Linked DNA regions of Notamacropus eugenii. The protein of the gene in region 3 interacts with the protein of the main gene of each other region in a pairwise test. Links are inferred from orthologs where the notes say so. Each region holds a gene or a part of one and is shown on either strand. Other genes may lie near its edges. The genes, in order: CEP57, TNNT1 and TFIP11.

What was found.
Region 1: the proteins of TFIP11 (region 3) and CEP57 interact in binary tests that used the Homo sapiens proteins (3 or more experiments, as listed by UniProt). The two-hybrid records come from large-scale screens. The link is inferred for Notamacropus eugenii from reciprocal best matches to the Homo sapiens genes TFIP11 and CEP57.
Region 2: the proteins of TFIP11 (region 3) and TNNT1 interact in binary tests that used the Homo sapiens proteins (3 or more experiments, as listed by UniProt). The two-hybrid records come from large-scale screens. The link is inferred for Notamacropus eugenii from reciprocal best matches to the Homo sapiens genes TFIP11 and TNNT1.

The regions. Positions count from the first base shown.
Region 1 is NC_092876.1:162,363,240-162,368,334, reverse strand, and holds the start of CEP57 (centrosomal protein of 57 kDa), read left to right. Parts: upstream 1-1,825; 5' UTR 1,826-2,078; coding exon 2,079-2,111; intron 2,112-5,095. Other genes in the region: protein FAM76B, read right to left, coding at 671-757. UniProt on the Homo sapiens protein: Centrosomal protein which may be required for microtubule attachment to centrosomes. May act by forming ring-like structures around microtubules. Mediates nuclear translocation and mitogenic activity of the internalized growth factor FGF2, but that of FGF1.
Region 2 is NC_092876.1:17,796,749-17,801,843, forward strand, and holds the start of TNNT1 (troponin T, slow skeletal muscle), read right to left. Parts: upstream 3,634-5,095; 5' UTR 3,208-3,633; intron 1,927-3,207; 5' UTR 1,915-1,926; coding exon 1,883-1,914; intron 1,778-1,882; coding exon 1,764-1,777; intron 1,482-1,763; coding exon 1,449-1,481; intron 1,101-1,448; coding exon 1,068-1,100; intron 415-1,067; coding exon 393-414; intron 1-392. UniProt on the Homo sapiens protein: Troponin T is the tropomyosin-binding subunit of troponin, the thin filament regulatory complex which confers calcium-sensitivity to striated muscle actomyosin ATPase activity.
Region 3 is NC_092875.1:19,810,499-19,815,593, forward strand, and holds the start of TFIP11 (tuftelin-interacting protein 11), read left to right. Parts: upstream 1-2,331; 5' UTR 2,332-2,476; intron 2,477-3,566; 5' UTR 3,567-3,576; coding exon 3,577-3,785; intron 3,786-5,095. UniProt on the Homo sapiens protein: Involved in pre-mRNA splicing, specifically in spliceosome disassembly during late-stage splicing events. Intron turnover seems to proceed through reactions in two lariat-intron associated complexes termed Intron Large (IL) and Intron Small (IS).

The DNA.
Region 1 (5,095 bases), on a different chromosome or scaffold from region 3:
TCTATAAATAATTTCAAAACAAGAGTATAATGGCTCTGCAGGTAGAGTTGGACTACGTCTTAACACGTAATTGTTCAATTAAAATATGCTGTAATTCCTTATGGGAAAGATAGGTCTCTTTGTGTTTATTAAATTTCTCTACGTCGCTGGTAGGGTTAAATACGATGGTAATCTGGTGGAGTCTATGTGAAAATGCTTTTTACTGTTCTGCGACGCTGCTTACAAATGCTCACACTTGCTTCTCATCGGATCTGAGAAGATCCGAATGAGACCAATACTCTGTGCCATGGCCAGCAAGTCGCTCTGCTTTTCTGTGACGGAGAGGTCACCATTCAGTGCCCTCGAGAGAGAGATTTAAAAGTGATCTCTACATCCCGGAAGGGGAGAGCTGAAAGGGCAGAGACAGCGACAAAAATACCTCCTGCGTGAGACAGGTGGCTGGCAGCCTCGGGGGTCGGCCCCACCCCGAGATCTCCGCCCTGAGCCCAGGCCACCTGGCGGGGGTGGGTGGGTGGGGGGCTCCCTTCACGCCCCGCCTCGCGCAGACAGAAAAGTCCCGGACTCCTCCAACCCCCGAGGCGCCGGCGACTGGGGTAAGGAGGCGGAGCGCGGGACACCCAGCCCCCTCCCAGGGCCACGTCCGACCAGACCCCGCCCGGCGCACACGGACCTTGCAGAGCTGCTGCCCCTGGGAGAGCTCCTCGAAGGGATAGCGTTGGGTACACTTTGTGCAGGCGTACAAGGCCGAGGCCGCCATCCTCCTCCTTCTCCTCTTCCTCTGCCGCCTGCTGCAACGCGGGGCCCTCCGGGGCAGCCTAGGCACCCGGGCCCGGCCGCGCGCTCCTCCCGATGCTTCCCCCCTCAACCCCCGCCCCGTGGCCACAACGACTCCGCGCTAGGACCCAGCTACAGCACTGCCAGCGCCGCGGAGTAAATACCAACGCCACAGCCGTCTCCCTCCGCCTTGCTTCGCCACCAGCCCTCCCGACCCCGCAACGGTTCCCGGCCGCTCCCTCTTAGGCCCAGACCGCGGTGGCGGAGGGAGACTAAACGGAGAGTCGAGGATTAGATTAGCTGCGAGGCGACAGATCCGCTTCCTTCTCCTTCTCTCTGTACTCTTTCGGATTGGCTGTCGCAGCCTTTACGTCACTCAGGCGCCACTCCCCTACCCTCACCCCGATACGCCGAGAGCCCCTACAAAGGAAGAAGGTCACCAACCAATAGCAGCTCGTTGCCGTCCGCGCGCGAAACTTGCTTCAAAACCTTTCCCCGGCCTAGAGGCCTGCGTCGTTGTGCTTGCTAGTGGCCAATCCGGTGTTCGGGGGGAGGACTCTGCGCTCCAATTGGGCAAATGCCCACCAAAGACTTTTCCCTCCTGCTCTTCTGACTCTTCTTTCTTGACTTCGATTGGACCGAGTACTTTGAGCGCCTTCTATACTGTCTCATCATTGGTCGTACTTCGGTAAGCACCGCCCGGTAAAACCTACCCCCAAACCACGGTCAGACTCATCTTCGAATTTGAGCAATAGGAATGTTTTGTACATCCGAGGCCTTTTACGTCAGCTCGGCTTATCGATTTTGGATGGCCATTTTAAGACACCGAACCAAAACAATACCCGGAGAAGTTTCCTTTGGCCCCATGGCCCCCGTAACCCAGCCCTGCCCCTTCCTTGCGTCGCCTTTGGAATTATCCTGTTTTGTTATTGGCCCTCTTCGCTCTCAATCCGACACCTTGTGGCGTCATCTTGGGGAAAGGGCGGGTTCTTCCCCCCACCGCTCCCGGACGGTGTCCTCTTCTTTGATTGGTTATTTGTGACGCCTATCCAGGTTTGTTGTCCTTTCGATGTGCGTAAGGCGCGCGCGCGCGCGAGGGGGGAGGGTGGGGTAAATCTCCGCCTGCCTAACTCATCTCTGTACCCCTACCCCTTCCCCCTCAGCCCGCCGCTGGCTCGGTGGTGGCCCGGGCTCTGATTGCTGGGGGGCGGATCTCCCCGTGGGGGCGGGGCACGAGCCTTGGGGCGGGGCTGGTGAACTCGGGCAGCCTTCCCCGTAGGAGGAGCCTGCTGGCAGGCGGGAAGATGGCGGCGTCGGCTGGCTATTCTGGATGCGCGGTAAGGAACTGTTTGCGTTCGAACGGGGCCAGGGACGCCCCTGGGCCCATTGTGGCCCCGACGCCTCCTGCCTGGGTCCTGTCGGGTCCCTGGGGGGCCTCCTCCGCTCCCCGAGTTTCCCCAGCTCTTTCCTTCCCTCTCCCCGACCCTTCCGTAGCATCTCTCGCTTCTAGGCTCCCTGGGTTGACCTGGCCCCCGGAGGTGAAGTGATCTCTGCCCCCTGGGCCGGCCGGGTCCTTCCCTCGGCCCAGCTGTTCACGCTGAGCGCTGGGCCCCGTGGGGACCGCCGGGGCTGCTGCGTGCTACCGTGAGCGCGCCCCCGGGTCCGCCTGGCTTCCCCAGCCCGGGCCGGCCCGAATGCTGCTCCGGGTGGCAGAATGTAACTGAGCAGATGCTCCGTAGGGACGAGTGTAGAATCTTACGCTCGGACTTTTAAAAATATGTTTCCACATGCAGGAAGGGGGAGGCGTGTCTGGAAAGATTTGGGGCTTTTAGTGGACTCCGAACTCAAGTTGAGTGAAGTGTGTCATAGTGAGTAAGAAAATTAAGGAACCTAATAGTCTCGTTAATAGCATACGTAATGAGGGTCGTTAAAATGGTCAGATCATATGTGGGTTCAGTTTTGCACAGTACTTAGAAGGACCGTAGTTGAATGGAAAAGAGAAGAATTAGGTTGGGTAGTGCAGTGGAAAGAGGATTTGGAATTAGAGGAGCCGAGGTGGAATCCTGGCTCTGCCATTTATTCGCTGTTTGTGTGACACTGGGCAAATGGCTAAAAGTCTCGGGGTCTGTTTCCTCATCTGTCAAATGGAGGTCTTGGCCTCTGAAGCCCCTGTTCTGTGATCCTGTGAGATATATAGATAGTTGTCATAAGAAGGGTCATTCAGCTTGACAAAAAACAGTGGGTAAATAGGCCAGATTAGGTTTAATTTAAGAAAAAACATTTACAGTTAACATCCAAAAATGGAGTGGGCTACTTGGGTACTCTCACTAGAGATCTTCTAACGAAGGTTGGAAACCATTGTCATTTGACCTTTTCAGATTCTCTCAAATATGCCCACTTCTCTCCTCTGACACTACCGCTGCTCTGGTGCTGGCCCTTACCTCCTCATTGCTGGATTGTTGTAATAGCTGCTGGTGGATCTGCCTGCCGCAAGTCTCTCCCCACTTCATTCCATTCTCCTTTTAATCACCAAAGTCTTTTTCCTAAAATGCAAGTCTGATCACATCTATCTCCTCAATAAACTCCTGTGGCTTCCCACTTTTGCTCATGCCCTTCCTCTTTTTTCCACTAAAATCCTAATTCTTCTTCTAGTCCCAGTTGAAATTTCCACTTTAATAAAGCCTTTCCTGATTAGCCTCCATCCTTCTATAGCTATATGACTGGCATATGTAGCTATGTTTTACCTCCCCTACCAAATTGCAGAGTTGTGGAAGTAAGGGGACCATGTCTAGTATGCTTTTTATCTCCCATCATGTTTTATACAGTCAGTAAACAATTTATTTAGCATCTGCTGTGTTCCAGCCATTGTGCTAAGTGTTGGGGATAATAATAACAACATTTATATAACACTTACCATATGCCAGATGCTGTGACTAAGCATTTTACAATTATCTCATTTGCCCAGGTGCTATTATTCCCATTTTACAGATAAACTTAAGGCAAACAGGTTAAGTAACTTTCCAGGGGTCACACAGGTAGTGTCAGAGGCCAGATTTGATTCAGTTTCCTCATTCCAGGCTCAGTACTCTTATCTACTGTGCCACCAAAAGCAAAATACATTCCCAACTCTCAAGGAGCTTGTAATTTGATGAGAGAGACAGCATGCAAATATGCAGGATAAATTGGAGATAATCAAAGAGGGAAGGCACTAGAATTAAGGGGGATTGGGAAAGACTTCCTGTAGAAGGTGAGATTTTTGGCTGAAACTTAAGAGAATTCTGGGCATTGGGAACACTAAGTGAAAATGCTTGGAATCAGAAGATTTTGTGTCTTGTGTGAGAAATAGCAGAGAAGCCAGTATCACTGGAACACAGAAGATCACTTTGGCAATTGAGTACAGAATGAACTCAGTTTCATCTCACTTCATCTGTTTGTTTTAAGGGGAAAAACCAACCAGCAGCCCATATAACAAATAAGCCTTAGTGATGAGGGCCTGCACCAGAGTGGTGCCATTATCAGAGAAGAGAAAGAAACAATAAATAAACAAAAAATAAATGAGAGAGGTAAAATCAACAGGTCTTTGCAACAGATTGGCTATGGAGAATGAGAGAGAGTGAGAAGTCAAGAATGATAACTATTAGGAAGAGGAAAAGATTTAGGGGGAAAGATAATGAGTTCATATTTAGACCTATTGCATTTTCATGTTTATGGGAATATAGTTCTGAGATGTTGGAGGTGTGAGGCTGGAAACCAGTAGAGAGGTTAGGGCTGAAGAAGTAGATACAAGAACATCACCATAGAGGTGATAATTAAATTTGTGGGAGCTAAAGAGAAAACCAATAAAATAACATGGAGAACATAAGAGGGCCCAGGACAGAGCTCTGTGATTAAACATTTGTTGAAGAAGTAAATGAATAACTGAGTTCCTACTATGTACCCAATGCTACAGGATTTTGTAGAAAATAATGTAGTGGGTCTTTGAGCTCACTAATGTTTATATTACCTTCAGAAGTGCAGATTGTGGCCACTCGGGCCTTCTCACCTTGTGTCTTTCTTGTCCTCCTGTTAAGCCTCCACAGAGGGGATCCACACTCATGCTGAGGGCTTTCCTTGAATTCTTTTGACATTGTATAGACATCAGAGAATCACTTCAACCAGCCCTATCTCCTTTTCTGGTTGTATCATCTCTGATATTTTTAAGGACTCTTGGTATGCAGTTCTTCAACAATAATACAACTGTTGCCTTTATACATTATGTGTCTCCATGGCCCTTTGGTTGACCTCCAACATGGGTGTTATGCTCTGATTCACAGCTACATAG
Region 2 (5,095 bases), on a different chromosome or scaffold from region 3:
GAATCTGTCCACCTCTGGTGTCTTTGGGACAGTGAAGCCCCTGGGGGCCACTTGGAAGCTCCTTGGAGATGGCTTGGGGAAAGACGAAATGGGGGTTCACTATGCAAGCTTGGTCAAGTCCCCTATTCTTTTCTGGGCCTCATTTTCCCTCTATCTACAATGCAAGAATTAACCAAGCATTTCCTAAGCACGCTTCCTGTTTCCTTTCGGTCAAGATTCTCTGTGTGACCTTGGACAAAAGACTTTCTCTTTCTAAGCCCCACCTCCCCCATCCATGAAATGGGAGAGAATTAATCACAAAGATCCTTCCTTTCCATCCTTGATCATTTTCATGGTTTGGGGAGTCTCTCTGCTCAAGCATTCTGCCATTCACCCTTAGGAAATTCGCTCACCTGGGTTTGGGTCGCTCCTCTTCTGTAAGGAGGGAGTTGAAGACAGAGAAAGATAATTAGAGAGGGGAAACTGGTGGAGAGACTAATGCCTGCTTTGATCTTAAGCCCCAGAAGGATTGGGAAGGTTCCAGGTTTCTGGGTACCGATTCCTCTTGCCCTCAGGGAGGAGGGTAAAAGGGGAGGGGGGTGCAGAGCTGGGATCACACAGCGACCATATACATTCACAACTTGTTGGGGGGGGGGTTCCCCACCCCTCAGAGAACCATGTTTCCTGTCTCCCAGTCCCTTCTGGCTGGGAGACCCAGATATCCTGTCACTCAGCAACCCATTCCTCAAGAACTCATTGGTCCTAGACCCCAGCGACTCCTTCTCCCACTCCCTCAGCGAGTCTCCCAGTCTCCACCCATCCTCAGCACTTCAGGCATCCAGGATCTCCCAGCCTCTAGCTTTCTGAGGGACCCAAGTCCCCTCCCACCCGACCCCAAACCTTTGAATGTATATCGAGGGAAGAAGAGGACAGGTGTGGGAAAAAGAGGAGTGGGTGCGGCCCCTTTAAGGGGGGGGACATGGTTATTGTTTAATGCGCGCCTAAGGGGCGCTTAAAGGGGCCGCGGTCTGGATGGGATATTCCCCCCGCCCCGGTTCCCGGAGACGGAAGCGAAGCGACCACCATACCTCGCTCTGCGACCGGCTCCGACTCCTCAGGGGCTGGGGTAGGGGGAGAGGGAGAAGCGAGGAATTGGGGGAGGGGAATGGCCCCGCCAGCGGTGCAAGGGGAAGGAGAGAGAGGAGAGGCTGTTAACGGGGAGAATTCGGTGCCAGGGGTAGAAGTCCCACCCACTGTGTGACCTTGGCAGCCCCTTGGCCTTCTCTGGGCTGAGGAATCCTTGCTGCCACCACCCAACCCCCAGCTGTAAACTGGGCATCCTTGGGACTCAAGGATCTCCAAGAGCCTTTCGGCCTTTGGGGTTCACCCAGCAATAAGAATCCAAGTTACAGCCATCACCCCTCATTCAGACACCCAAGCATCCCTCTTCCCCGCCCCTTTGGGCTTACCTTCCTCCTCCTCCTCGGCGGCCTCAGCCTCTTCTGAGGGCAGGGGGCAGACAGGATAGAGAAAAAGAAAAAGTGTTGTGGGGGAGGGAGGGGACAGCGTCATGGTGCTGAAAGAGTTAACGGGCCTCCTTCTCTCGGGTCTTAAGACCCTCTACCCTGATCTTAAGTCCTCTGGGCACCTCGGGTGCCTTCATTGCTATTCTTGAGTTCAGGAAAATAGCAGATCCTTGGACCCAGGTGTCCAAGCCCCAGTGGGCACACCCTCAAGACCCAGGGATTCTGATCTGCCCTCCCCTCCAGACCCCAAAGACTCACCTTCCTGCTGTTCCCTGCAGATTGGGACAAAAGAGAGGAACAAATTAGATGCAGACATCAAGGGAGACGCTTTCCCCATCCTCTTACTCTCTACCAGCTGCCCCGCCACACACACTTACTCCTCATACTCCTGCTCCTCTGTGTCCGACATTGTTGGAGTAACCTGGAGAGAGTAAGGAGAGAGAAGATAGAAGGACCAGAATGTTTGTGTCCCTGAGGGATGGGAGCTGGGGATCTCTGGGGCCACTGAACTGATGGAGTGGGGTGGGGGTGGCAGCATTAGGGCCCCTCCCCCACCATCCCCACCACCTGTCTTTTGGTCTCAGGGCACTGGGGGATGGGAAGGAACCTGATCGGGGAGATTATCTCTGGGCATTCTTGGGACAGACAATAGCCACCCCCAGTTCCCTCCTAGCCTGTCAGAAGCTATTTCTGGGGGTCTCGGGCCAGGGCCAAGGCCAGAGATATGTCCCAAAAAGGATAGAGCTGCCCACAGGCCCTGACTCAGAACTGCCCTTGCCTCCCCTCACCAAACCCCTGACCTTAAGCCTATGCTGTCAGAAAAACCACCAACCCACCCCAGTCTCAAAATCTTAGGAGCTGAGTGAATTTTGGCTTCCCTACTCAGGTTTTACAGATAGAGAAACTGATTCCTGGAGAAGGAATGGAATTTTCCAAGGTCATAGTCAAGTCAATAGTACTGGAAAAGAAGGTTCCTGGCAACCAGTCTTTTCCCTCCACTCCATCCCTTTGCCCTCACCCATTACTCTTGAAATGGGAAGGTCAATAGATTTCCTTTCAATACATACACAAATCCCAACCCTTACTGTAAATTGTGTCTCATCTGATTACCTGTCTCTCACTGTTTACGTCTGTATCTGTCACTGTTTATGGCTGTCTGCATCTGTCTATGGCTGTCTATCTCTGTCTCTTTCACTGTGCTTGCCTATCTGCCTCTCTCTGTTTCTTTCTATCTCCGTCTCTCTGACTCTGTCTGTCAGTCTGTCCGTCTCTGTATCTGTCTCTCTTATTCAAGTTCCTCCCCCCACTCTCTCCTTATCTCTCTCTGCCTTTCTCTATTCTGTCTCCCACCCACAGAATCTCAAAATTGGAAAAGACCTCAGAGATCAGTTACTCCAACCTATGCCTAAACAAGAATAAAGAACCATCTGGGATATTACTAACAATGGATTATTCAGCCTGAAGATCATCCACCAAAAGGAGCTCACTCGTCCCAGACAATCCTTTTCACTTTGGGACAGCTCTAATTATTAAGACCTTTCCCTTTTATTGAGCAGATATTTGCCCTGCTGCAATGTCTCTGTCTTTCCCAACCTTTGTGTGTCTCCCTCTCTGGGTCTCCCTTTCTTTCTATCTGCATAGATCTCCCAGGGGCTGGCTTGGGGAAGGGGGTCAGAAATTGGGGGGGAGTGGGCTTCATTACCTGGGACTGGTGCTGAGGCTTCAGTAAACCACAAGGGTTTGATTGAGGCTGGAACAATTGCTGTGAGTCAGGGACAGAGAAGCAAGTGCTTTATAGCCCCAGCCTGAGGGAGGGGGGAGAGCCTCCAAAGATATTCCGGGGTCTCTGAGGCAGGGCCAATTGTGGGCTCCTCCTCCTTTCAACTTGGGTGTCACCCTTGCTCCATTTCTGTCTCTCCTGTCTGTCTTCTGCCTGGACCTCTCTTGTCTGTCTTTTTGCTGTGTGTCTTTCCAATCCTGACACGTGATGGGGAGGAGGGGGAGAGGAGGATTTGCCCCTCTTCTATTCTTTTCAAACTCATTTCCTTTTTTCCTTTATATTTCTTTCTTTAGGTTTCTCAGTCTCTTTGTGTCTCTATAGATCCCAGTTTCTTCTTTTCTTCCTTCTTTCTCTCCTTCCTCTCTCTCTCTCATTCTCTCCTTTCTTGGTTTCCTTTTTTCCAGTCACACAACCCCACAGGACCATTTCCTGGTCTTGTCTTTCCCCACTCCAATCCATCCTCTCCTCAGCTAACAAAGTAAATTTTCTAAAATGCAGATTTGACTCTCTCTCTCTCTCTCTCTCTCTCTCACTCTCTCACTCTCTGTCTCTGTCTCTGTCTCCTTTCTCCTCCAGTGGCACCCTATTACCTTCAGGCTCAAATATAAGATAATCCTGCTTGACTGTTAAAGCCAATCACAGCCTTTGTCTCTCTCTCCCCCACACACCACACACACACACACACACACACACACACTTTTCCAATCTTCTTACATTTTACTCCCCTCCACAAACTATATGATCCAAAGAAACACCTTCCTATTATTCCTTGGATAGGACATTTGATTCCCCAAGTCCATGCCTTTGCCCCAGTTGTGCCCCATGCCTGGAATGCTGTCTCTCCTCATCTCCACCTCCTAGTCTCCCTGGCTTCCTTCAAGAGTCCACTCCAATCCTACCTTGTGCAGGAAGCCTTCATGGCTCCTCCCCAGCTGCTGGTGCCTCCCCCCTCCAGCTCCAAGGTTACCCTCCACTGATACTGGATATCACTTGTATGTTGCTACTAGTTTGCCTGTGGTCTCATCCATGAGACTGTGAGCTCCTGGGAGAAGACACCATGTTTTGCCCTTTTTATCCCCATTGATAAAGCACCAGGTCTAGTACAAAGTAAGTGCTTAAAAACGTTTCTTGGCTGCTCCATCATTTTCTATCCTCTCTCCCACCATCTGTTTCTCTCTCTCCTTCTGCCTCTATGTCTCTCTTCCTCTCCATCTCCTTTCTTTCAGTCTGTTTCCTTCTCTTTTCTGTGGTCTCTAAATTCCTTGTCTTACAGACTTTGAATGAGCCTTCCATGGCCAACACACATACCTGACAAATGACCACTCATCTCCTTTAAACTCAACAATTCATTGTCAGTCTCTACTTGAAGCCAAGGAGGAAACCCATTTCACCTTGGATCATTGCAATTGACTTTTTCCTGACATCAAGCCTAATGCAAGTCTAGTTCTGTGCCTAGTTCTGCCCACTCCCCAAGATAGCCATTCAAAGAAGTGAAGGAAGCTCTTTCTCCCCTGGCACCCCAGTCTTTTCCTCCCCAGGCTAAACATTCCTAGTTCTTTCAACCTATATCCTTCAATCACAGACCATGAATTTACCCTTTTTTCCTCTCTCTCCCTCTCTCTCTGGTTTTTTATTGTCTCCACCTTCTCCTGTGTATCTCTGTGTCTCCATTTCTCTCACTGTCTCTGGCATTTTTGTTTGTTTCTGTCATTGTCTCCTCCTCCCCTCTCCCTCTGCTTTGTCTCCCATCAAAATTTCCCTTTAGTGACATCAGGTCCTAAATGGAGATGACAGGTGTGTGGGTGGGGTG
Region 3 (5,095 bases):
ACTTTTTACCCTGTGGCCCTGAGAAATGGGCATGGGTTTTGTTTTCTGACTGGTTCATTTGTCCTTTTCAGTACTAGGCACAGGTGGAATCCCTGTTTTCCAAAGTTCAGATCCAGTGACCTCCTGCCAGCCAACCAAGCAGGAAAGCCCTGAGAAGGCAGGGGAGGGTGGTGGGACTGGAGCCCAACATGGGCTTTTAACTTGGAACTTGGGGGTTCTGTGCTATTTAGGATCTGAGCTAGGTTGCAGACCTAATCTCTTCCTTTGATTGGGTGCTTGGGTGCATTGCTTGGACCCCAATTCTAAAATCACATTTCTCTCTAAAAATCATATTTCTCCCCAGCCCGAAGATAGCCTGCCCTAGCAAAACCTTTATCTCTCTTCTTGATACAGTAACCGGCTGCACCTGTAGAATTTATTAGTTTGAACCAGCTGTGGACTGGTTGAACTGGCTGTATACTGGGTCATAAAGATATTCACTGCTCAATGACCTATCATATGTATCCTAGACTTAGACGTATGGATACTCCCTCATGTTTATCTTGTCCAACAAGACATTGATAGGGGCAGCCTGGGTATTTCTCAATCAGCCCAGACCATTAGTGATGTCTCAGGCCTAAAAACACACTTCCATGTAGCCCCTCCTTAGGCTATTTCCCAGTGAACTCTGGGTAAAAATACCTGCTCAGCAGCTTCTAAAAATGCATGTTCCTTTAAGTACTGACCACTTCCTAATCCCCCCAATCACCTAGTTAGCATATTTGGCACATGTTATACTATGAAATATCCTAAATAAATTTTACCTGTACCCTTTTCAAATCGCAGGTGCCTTAAGAACTCCTGTCTGCTGAAAAGCGTAACCATAAATTTTTACCACCTTGACTTCAAAAATGCTTGAGTCCATGAATTCATTCCAGATGACCTGCCCCTGTGCTCATCCTGCTTTTTGGCAGGATGTCTCAGAATCCATCCCCTCCCTTTCCAATCCTTATCACCTTCATCTCTCCATAGCTGAGAGAGGGTGTGTGTGTGTGTGTGTGTGTGTGTGTGTGTGTGTGTGTGTGTGTGTGTGTGTGTGTGCACGTGTGTGTAGGTGAGGGGGGTGAGAGGTGAGTATGCCCCTCAGGTGTTGGGGCTGAGGTGGGAAAGTTTGTGTATTTATTCTTATTATACCTTTAAAGTAAATATTCCTTTTTAAAAGTTATTCCCTCCATTAAGTGATAAAATGGAACTGAGGCACAGGGGACCCCTAAAATTGAGGGAACATCATTTATGGAGGCTGACACCAAAGGCAGAGGGATTTAGACCCCTCCCCAAACCCTTTTAAGGGTATTATAGAACCCTGGGCAAAGCAGGTGAAATGTAATACAGCTGATCTTCTGGTAGTCATGATTGAGTTACTGTTATACGTGTAAATCCTGGGCTTAGTACGTACAGTACTGCACACAGTAGGTGCAAAATTAATGCTTCTTGTCTCACTGTGCCTACTTCTTACAGGGGTCTCTGTCTCTGTCTCTCTGTCTTTCTCTGTCTCTCCGTGTCTGTCTGTCTCTCTTTCCTTCTCTCTCTGTCTCTATCTTTCTCTCTCTGTGTCTGTCTTTCTGTCTCTTTCTCTCTGTCTCTGTCTTTCTCTGTCTTTGTCTCTGTCTGTCTGTCTCTGTCTCTGTCTCTCTATCTTTCTCTCCGTGTCTGTGTCTGTCTCTCTGTCTTTCTCTGTCTCTCCGTGTCTGTCTGTCTCCTTTCCTTCTCTCTCTGTCTCTGTCTCTCTCTCTCTGTCTCTCTCTCTGTCTGTCTTTCTCTCTTTCTCTGTCTCTCTGTCTGTCTGTCCGTCTGTCTCTGTCTCTGACTGTGGGGGGGCATGGGAGTTAACAATGGCGGTCCCCCCTCCCCAGTGTAGACCACTGTAACATTTAAAAGCCGCCCAGAGCAGACACAGCTCAGGAGGAAGCCGGACAAGCCGGATAGTTTGAAAGCGAAGCGAAGTTTTGTGACAAAGTGTGGAAAAAAGCCATCGTGTGAAGTGAAGATGCAAGGCGTCCCTCGGGTCCATAGACTGTTCTCTGCTCTGGGGGTGGGATTTTTTAAAATGCAAAAAAAAAAAAGAAGAAGAAGGCGGGGGAGGGGACGAGAGGAAGGAAGAGGAGAAACGGGGAGGGGGAGGGTGAAGAGGAGGCTGATCTGCTCCTCCCCCTCCCATCCGCAGGCGTGGTTTCCCACGGGAGGACCTCCAAAGCCATAGAGACGAGGCCGCTCTAGGACCGGCGTCGCTCATCCCCAAGACAACCCCCCCCTCCGCTTCCGCGTGAGGGCGGGCTTCTTGCGTCACTTCCGGCGCGCCAGGCTCGGCTTCGTTTGGCCGCCGGCGGGCTCGCGCGGACCCCTAGGCGCTGCTCGAGGTGAGAGGCGGCTCGGGAGGCGCCGGCGGCGGTGACAGCGCGGCGAGGACGCTCCGAGGCCCGACCCGGGTCCCCGAGAGGTGAGGGCGACCCCAAACCCCGCCCGGAGAGGGAAGGAAGGGGCCCTGGGGGGGGCATCGCCGGCGCTGTGCCCTCGGGACCCCGCGGCCGGCCCGTCAGAGCTGGGAGGGAGCCCAGAACGGGGGTGTCGGAGCAGCCGAAGGCCGCAGGCCCGACCCCCCACCCGGCCCCGGGTCATCCGGCCGGGGTCCTGGATGAAGGCGCCTTGGAGGCGCCCGGCGCGGGTGTCAGAGCCGGGAGACCCCTTAGAACGCTCGCGGCGGTGCCGAGGCGGTCGGCGAGGGACTCGGCCAGGGTCACCCAGCCGGCCGGGCCTCCTGCCCGTTACGGAGGACGAGCCCGGGAGCGGAGGCTGCCGGAGGCGGAGGCCTCCCCGCTTCATTAGACCCTCCGTAGCCGCACGAGCAGCGGGCGAGGGCAGCGCTCCCCGGCTCCTTAGCCCGGCTTCCCGGGGGCCTTCCTGGAGTGGCCCGATCACCGTCCCCGCCGAGCCGGGCCGGGGTCCGCGCTTTATTCCTCGGTGTCCCCTTCGCAGAACGAGGCGTGTTCCTTCCCCCTAACTCCGGCGCTTTCCCCGCTGTACCCGCCGTCCCCCAGCTCTTCGGGGAGCCTCGTCCCTGGATGGGGCTCCCCAAGTGCCTCCTGCTTCGTTTGTGGCCGGTGTTAGTAACTTTTCAGAACAGCGAGCTCACTAACGGGCCTCCGGTTTATTGAGGTCCTAAGGTTGGGCAAGACTGAAGTATTTGATTATCCGGGTGGAAAGGGAGCGTGGTTGGTATCTCCAAATATTTTACCTTCTCTTACAGGGGAAGAGACATCAGACTTAAATTTTATTTCTCTTTTGGCCTTTGAGGGCACAGCTATTTCCAGTGAACGGGAGGTATGAGAAGGCAGGCTTCAGCTGGACATAGAAAGCACTTCCTACTAATGAGAACTGTCTGGCAGTAGGAGATCAATAGTTTTTTTATCAGGATCTTTCTTCACAGGCAGCCAGATGGTCATTTGTTGTTGGCCCGGTAGACAGGATTCGGGCTGGAGGTTTGTAGTGAGATCTTGCCCTTTTCATCCCTGTCTCCCTTTCTCCACCAGAGTTGCCACCATGTCGCTGTCTCATCTCTACCGAGAGGGCGAAGGAGCCATTGATGAAGAAGAAGATGAGATGGAGAACTTTGAGATCACGGACTGGGACCTCCAGAATGAATTCAATCCGAACCGTCAGCGTCATTGGCAAACCAAAGAGGAGGCCACATATGGAGTGTGGGCCGAGCGCGACCTTGAAGATGAGCGACCCAGCTTTGGAGGCAAACGGTAGTGGGATTCACCGGACAGGGCTGGCTGCTTCTGGGTGCAGCCAGGAGGGAATTAGATGTAGCCACGTGTACTTCTGTCACCTCTGGGCATTCAGTTTTTCCTTCAGGAGAGAATGTGTTGTACCACTTGAGGACAGCCTTTCAGCTCTGGGCAGGTCATCATTCCCTAATGTATACATTATCATCATTGGTCATTGGGCTCTGCTGAAAAGAGCATGTTCATGTTGCGGTAAAGACTTGGTGTGTACTCAGTCCTGTAACCATAGATTATGAATCTATCAGTAGGTATATAGACCATTTAAACTAGAAGGGTCCGTAGAGACCCAGACTAAATACCATCATCTTACAGATCCTGAGCAGCATTCATTCATTCATTCAGCTTCTATTAAGGACCAGCTATTCAAGGAATTGTGTGAGGTGCTGGAGATGCCAAGAAAAGTGGCAGGGGAGGTAGTTCCTTCCATTAGGGAACATAAGTTCTGTGGGCGCATGCAACAAGTACATACAGATAGAGAAGTGTAATTTGAGGAAGGGGAGAAAGTATTAATTGACTTTCTCACCGATGTGTGTAATTAGTTATAAATGGTAACAAGGTGAGGGTTTGGAGAATGACTTCCAGAGGGCTAAGGATTCTCCTGGCAGTGAGTCAGAAATGACATCTTCTAAAGTATCCCTGAAGTAGACTATTTTAAAATCACTATCATATTTTTAATGCATTAATTTCTTAAACCCTTGAGTTATCATGTTATTGATTTCATGGACATGCCGTTTTCTAGCATTTTCCACATAATATATATTATTGGCATAATCATTTCCCCATATGACTTGTTAGATATGGCTCTGCTTTCTTTGTCAGTGGTTTTGTTCCAGAAGATTCTTTTCATTTGACTACTCTTGCTGCCATGGCCATTTAAATATATGTTGTGTTTTGGTTTTTTTGAGTGTAACAGTAGCCAGTGGAATGACTTGGTAAAGTGGAATGTTTAGTAAAGAAGATTAAATGAACACAAATCCTTTGGATCTTTGATTCTTTTAACTAAAATTATAATTTGTGAGGCTTGCATTTGCATCTGGGGCAGAGACTTAGAGTTTTTTGAACTTGAGCTGTGCTCGTTGTGCTTCAGATGTCTATTTTCCAGACTGCAGATGTCTGAGTTACATTTGACAGTCCTTGGGTTCATATCCTTGGATTCATATCAGTTAATGATCTTTTAAAGTGAATCCCTTGTAGCACTGTGTTGGTACATTTCCTGCACAACTTTTCCTCATCTATGATAGCAGTGGCACCTGTCAGCTGAAGAGGCTTCT